Kluyveromyces lactis: one gene and its partner. The protein of the gene in region 2 binds, or shares a complex with, the protein of the main gene of each other region. Links are inferred from orthologs where the notes say so. Each region holds a gene or a part of one and is shown on either strand. Other genes may lie near its edges.

Region 1 (3,095 bases), on a different chromosome or scaffold from region 2:
TATACAGAATACAGTGCCTTGGATTTTTTTTTCCCTTTTTACCTATTTTTTTGTTGGCTAACGGAATATCCTTTTACGGTTCCTGGTTTTTCAGACACGTGAACAGCGTACCGTTTTTTGTTTTTTTTGTACTTGAAACGAAAAACAAAAAACGGTACACATTACGTGCTGTTCTGTGGGGAAAAACGCGCAATTTTGTTCCTGTTTGTTTGTGTCTTTTTTTTTTTATTTGGGTTTCATTTCATCTCGCATTTCGCTTGCATCTCGCTTAGTTAGGCTACTGGTATTTTTGGAATGGAAAGCTGCTTAGTCTGAATAGGGCACTGGTGCCAGGTTGGTATTCTGCGAAAATATGATGCAGTAATTTTTGATGTTACTTTTTGATCTTCTTTACTGTGCCAAGACCATAAAGAAGTCTGAAGTGCCTGTTTGGTTGAATTCTTGAGTTGTCGTTTTTTTGTCTATTATACTGATAATATAGATATATATCTGCCGGCTCTTAAGTCCAGTCTATACAGCTTGCGGACGGGGCATGAATATTTCGAAGAAGATTTGGCTTCGGCTTCTTCTAGTTTTTTTTTCCTCTTTATGTCTTGTCGTAATTTTACTCATTGGAACAATTCCAAGTTAGATAGTTGGGCAACGAAATTTTCTGCTCTTTGCTTGGCATCCGTTAACGATTCGTCAACGGCGACGGAAACGTTCAACGCGTATTCGTGACGTGTTTGTTGTTGTTTGGATACTGCGGATGCCTCTTGTTGTAGTTCTTGCGTTGTTGTACCAGATAATAAATCAAAGATATCTGGTTGTGGTGAAGAGGTACGGTGTCTTGGTGTAGGTTCCAAGTCTACTATGTTATAAGTGACCTTGAAACGAGGTTTTGTTGGTTCTTGTACTAGTAACTCTTCGAATAATGGGTCGTATAGTTCGGATGCGTCATTGGTCAATGGTTCGTCGTGTGCCAAGAATGAACATTCCTTGACGTACGATGCTATCGCAGCAGATAGTTGGGAGTAAGTGACGTTTTCTGGGACATGGAGTGTGATCTGTTCGCTTAGTACTAGAGGTAATGGTTTAGCGGGTTTAGCAGCTTGTGCTGCTGCTGCTGCTGCTGCAGTTTCTCTAGCAGGTCTTAATTCGATGTTGGTTAGATCCAATTTCTCATGGGATTTGATGTACTCGGTTACCTTGTTCAACGAATCTTGGGAAATCTTACCCAAATAGGCTAGCACATCACCTTTTAAGATTCTACCGTTTGGACCAGTGGCCTTGATTTTGTCCAACGCATCTGCAGTTGAAATATTGTTTTCCTCTAGTAGTGATAGCACAGATGGGAATAATGTTTGAGATGCATTAGCCTGAACACTGCCGTTCTTAGAAGGTGTTTTTGAAGCACTGGTTTGCTTCTTCTTGTCAGTTTTTTCCACTGGTTTGGCCTCCTCCTTTTTAGTTTCAACTGGCTTTGATTCTTTCTTGGCTTCAACGGGCTTTGGGAACTCCAAAGTGGCCAAATCATCGTCCACATCAGCGATGTATGCAATGGGTTCCCCGACAGGAATATCCTTGGCACCGTTCTCCTTCAAAATTTTGGCAAGCTTACCGTCATCTTGTGCCTCCACGTCAATGGTTGCCTTGTCGGTTTCAACCTCCAAGAGCACATCACCGGCAGAGAAAGTATCACCAGCTTTGAACTTCCAATCAACGACACCGCCCCTTTCCATGGTTGGTGACATGGCAGGCATCCCAAAGGCTTGGGCCTTCAACATAGTTCTACATTGGTGTAATTGACGGAGACACGCCCTGTTTTTAATTGCTAAACGGAACATTATTGAATACAGGTTTTTTCAACAAACACACTACAGTCTCTCTCCTATATCTTCCGTACAGGCCTAACAAAGGATGGTTTTGCTTCTTTTCTGATCTGTGTCGTCCTTATCTATTGTAAATGATACTTTTAATTACCACCTTCTTTCGCTGAATGACGAATATAGGTTTCCAATTTACAGACTTCGTTTTTTCTACCAATAGATTGTCGATAAAATCGTCTTTCTCCCAGAAACAATTGACAACAAAAGTATTCAATTGAACTTTGTTCAAAGCTCTGTGTACTTGGACAATTCAATCTTTCACATATATACTTTATTTCTAAACCTTTCCCATAGTCTCATCTCAACGGTATAAAACCGTCGGGTGGGGGACTGTGTCGTCTCTAGTGGGATAACACTTTTTTTTTTTTTCACAAACAGTGGATAACGATTTCCGGGTAATGTCTTTGAGAGGTTCATCATGTGTACAAAGATTGATTGCCTACTTACTTACTTACTTACTTACTTGCATCATGGCTATTGATGCGTCACGGTCAATTGGAGGTTCATCTAACAGCGTTTTTGATTTAGTGTGATGACGCTTCTCTTTCAATCTCACTTAGAGTTCGAATCTTGTTGTTGTAGTTTTCCCATTTGGCAGCGTCCGAGTTACAAACAAACTCACAATCTCTTTCCCAGTTAAAGAATGCGTTCAACCATCGGTCGAACGATGGGGTTTCGGGGTTTTGCTCCTTGAGCAAGGACCATAGCGCCTTGTAGCAACCGCCTAGAGCACACGAATTTGCAGTTTCTAGTCTGTAGTTACCATTCTTGGCTCCAATGACATTAGCCATCGTTTTGATGATGGCTTCGTTCTTTGATGCACCACCGACGAAAAAGGCTCTATTAGGTCTCTTGGCGTAAGACGCTAAGGGGAAGAAATCATAGTCGAACTTCACCTTTAATTCTGATTTTAGCACTTGTGTTTCGTTGATCGCATTGGCCTCTTCGGATAACAACGGGGAAATTCTCACTCTGCAACTTAGCGCTTGTGATTCTACAATGTTCTTTGCATCAAGTCTCTTATCAGGGAACATATTGACATTTGTCAATACGACTTTATTGTCTATGTACTTGAAATAACATCTTTTAGTGACAGCATCCATGTTTGGAACAATTTCGCCTAATGGGAAATATAATCCAATTTCATTATCGTTAGATAATGAGTTATCCAGCAATGCCTCGTTAAATTTAGTCCAATCATGTGTTTGTGATTCTCCATTGATATCG
Region 2 (3,359 bases):
TCTCTTAACGGTTAAAGTTCAACGAGGTCAAGGGAACTGAGCCTGCAATTAAGATACATTACCTGGTCAAAGTGTTAGCACAAACTTGTCTTCTTTTGTAAACATTTTTTTTCCAACTTTATTCCTGTATTTCGGGCAATGTAAAAACAGTCACGTGGTCTAAAATATTAAAAGAACCTTGGGGACTGCTATGAGAGAATAAGTTCAGTAGTATATACAGTAAATCGGAGAGAGTGCTGTTATGCAAAGCGATTGCGAGGAATGGTAAAAACATGAGATATTCAATTTCTTACATTATATCTATAGAAATGGTAATTTTTTACATAGTTGCAGTATGTTAAATCGAATTCTTTCCATGCAAGGTTGTGGGTCGAATAAGTCATAACTGACCTACAACGTTGTTAAAAGGAAAGCGTGGCTATTGGCATACGGTCGAAAAACTTCGACTAGGAGAATTCGTTTTGGAATGTTGGTGGGTAGGCTTTTTTCTTCTTTACTTTGAAATTCTTAACTTTATTATTTTTGATCATTAGATTTGTTAGGTTCTGAATCTGTTCATAACAATAGTTCCAATGGGTTTTCAATAACCTTCTTCAATTCCTTCATGAATTCACCACCCTTAGCACCATCGATAGTTCTGTGATCGAAAGTACCAGTGATATTCATCTTTTGGTCAAAGGTGAAGCCGAATTCGGAACCAGCATCTTCGACTGGGACCTTGTTAACGGTACCGATAGCCAAGATGGTAGATTGTGGTGGGTTGATGATAGAGGTGAACATGGAAACGGCAGGGTTCATACCCAAGTTAGAGATACAGATAGTACCACCTTGGAATTCTTCTGGCTTCAACTTATTATCCTTAGCACGCTTACCTAAGTCCTTGATTTCCTTAGAAATGGAAACAAGGCCCTTGGATTCGGCGTTCTTGACGATCGGAGTCAACAAACCGGTTGGGGTAGCAACAGCGACAGAGACGTCAACGTTCTTGAACTTTCTGATGACACCTTGTTCTGGCATCCAGTAAGCATTAGCATCTGGACATCTCTGAGCAGCAACAGCAATGGCCTTGATCAAGATGTCATTGATGGACAACTTGTATTGGTCTTTAGCAGTAGCGTTCAAGGATTGTCTCAACTTCAAAAGCTTAGAAACACTAATTTGAGAGGAAACAATGTATGATGGAATATTTTGAGTGGATTGCAACAAACGGTCACCGATGATTTGTCTCATGTTACTGATTGGAACATCTTCATAAGTGGCGGATGCTGGAGTTGGGGCAGCTAGGGCTGGAGCGGCCTTAGCAGCGGAGGATTCACGAGATGGAGCCGAGGCCAAGAAGGCTTCAACATCATCCTTAGTGATTCTGCCTCTTGGACCAGTACCTTCAACTTCCTTCAAGGAAACACCATGTTCCAAAGCGATGCTCTTGGCCAATGGAGAAGCAAAGATTCTAGTACCTGAAGAAGCAGAAGATCCAGAGGATTTCTTGGCAGCTGGTTTAGAAGCTGGTTTAGCACCTTCCTTGGATTCTTCCTTGGATTCTTCCTTTGCAGGTTGCTTAGCACCATTCTTGGCAGCTTCCTTAGCAGCGGTAGCAGATTCGGCGTCTGCAGCAGTGAAATTAGCGAAAGCTGGAACGTCAGATTCTTCCTCAACGTAAACAGCAAGTGGCTTGTTCACTGGGATATCCTTGGTACCAGCTGGAACCAAGATCTTAGCCAAATAACCTTCTTCTTGGAATTCGAAATCCATTTGAGCCTTATCAGTTTCAACTTCAGCAAGGACATCACCAGGCTCCAACCTGTCACCAACGTTCTTACTCCATTCCGTCAAACCACCTTGAACCATGGTAGGAGACAAAGCTGGCATACCAATGATGGTGTATGGTGGGTAAGAAGCATACGTTCTCAATTGAAGTCTGGCAGCACAAGCCAAGACGCTCATTCTTGGAGCAACTCTAGAAAGTAATGCAGACATTTTTCCTAGTTCTTTTCTTAATATATGTACACAAACAATTGATTCGTTCCCGTAACTTGGTTAATACAATTGAATATCAAATGTAAGCCGATTTTATCTTCTGGTACAGTCAATTCCTGTGTCCAATTCGTAGTGAAATGTAACCTTAATAAATATTGATATCTCAGTTCTAAATGAAGGAGGAAAAGGCTTGATGTATTATTTCAATCTTCTTCTTTCAAGCGAGATCAATTACCAACAGGTGTAATCAGTGTTCCAATAGTATCGTCAAATGCACTAGCGAATCACAATCATTTTTTTTTCTCTTGTGCAATCTAATCGATGTTATTTACAGATAAATGTTCTCCCATCTAACCTTTTTCCTTTTATTTCTTGAGAATTTCAGTTTTCAGAATTTTCGAAATCCAAAATATCCACACTATAATGGTGCGACGGGATAGAAGGTGGGATGAACAGAAACATGCCCGTGATCCGCTGCAAACTGATAGCTGCTAGAAGGGTTTCCGTCGTGATAGTTATAAAGCTTTATATAATGGTATTTCTCGAGATGATATTTATCTCAATCCCAAACCTGCTCTTGAGCTGTATAAATGCTTTCACAATTGATGGAGTAGAGTAACTTACCGATTAATATGTGGTGTAGGGAGTTTACTAGTGTCAATTTTTGGCTAGTGCCAGCGGCCTAAACGGTGGCCACAATTGTGCCAGGCAATGCAAATCTCGAATGCGGGTAGCTTATTTCGTAATCTGATGACAGCGTCGCGACTGTCAATAGATAAATTCATAATACGTTGTATATATAGATAGTAGGATAAATGGAAATGAGTCAGGGTTTACTGGTACCAGGAATCAAGTGTAATAGGTCTGTTTTTCTGTTCGGGTGCCCACTGCATTTTTTTCTTGGTCATTGCGTCTTCTTCCCATTCTATTTCGATGGTAGATTTACTATTTGCGAGCATCGTGGCACATGTTTGCCAAGAGAACCGTACCATGTAGGGAGACCATCCCATCAATGGTTTCATCTCGTTTCGTAGCCATTGAACGGTTTTTGAGTCACCAGGATACCCTGACCCAAGGATTTCATCTTCGGTTTTCTTGCATTGTGAAAGGATGATATCTCTGGTCACTTTTGCTACCACACTCGCAACACTTACAATGGGGTAAATAGAATCAGCCTTTTTCGCAACGGTGAATTTGCACTGTGGGAAGATACTTTCCAATTTCTTTTGATACGAGATAGGCGGACCCACGGTATCGACGTACACGTGACCTACTTTAACACCAGATTTCAATACATCGTCTATCAATGCGATTGTCACATCGTGCGCCTGTTCATTCAAATTGTAATTCTTTTCTGGTGGGAACCTGAACATCCCGCTGCT

Evidence for each region. The genes of interacting proteins can lie anywhere in the genome.
Region 1: the proteins of LAT1 (region 2) and PDX1 are in contact, whole or in part, in a cryo-EM structure (PDB 8OHS), measured with the Neurospora crassa proteins. The link is inferred for Kluyveromyces lactis from reciprocal best matches to the Saccharomyces cerevisiae genes LAT1 and PDX1. Residues at the interface, in XP_962786.1 of Neurospora crassa: Lys263, Lys266, Leu267, Gln269, Ala270, Pro453, Leu454; in XP_956161.2 of Neurospora crassa: Leu323, Gln326, Val327, Leu328, Lys332.

What each region holds. Positions count from the first base shown.
Region 1 is NC_006041.1:864,335-867,429, reverse strand, and holds PDX1 (Pdx1p), read right to left. Parts: upstream 1,827-3,095; coding exon 609-1,826; downstream 1-608. Other genes in the region: XKS1 (xylulokinase), read right to left, coding at 2,393-3,095. UniProt on the Saccharomyces cerevisiae protein: Required for anchoring dihydrolipoamide dehydrogenase (E3) to the dihydrolipoamide transacetylase (E2) core of the pyruvate dehydrogenase complexes of eukaryotes. This specific binding is essential for a functional PDH complex.
Region 2 is NC_006042.1:462,552-465,910, forward strand, and holds LAT1 (dihydrolipoyllysine-residue acetyltransferase), read right to left. Parts: upstream 1,978-3,359; coding exon 556-1,977; downstream 1-555. Other genes in the region: ribonuclease H2 catalytic subunit RNH201, read right to left, coding at 2,811-3,359. UniProt on the Saccharomyces cerevisiae protein: The pyruvate dehydrogenase complex catalyzes the overall conversion of pyruvate to acetyl-CoA and CO(2).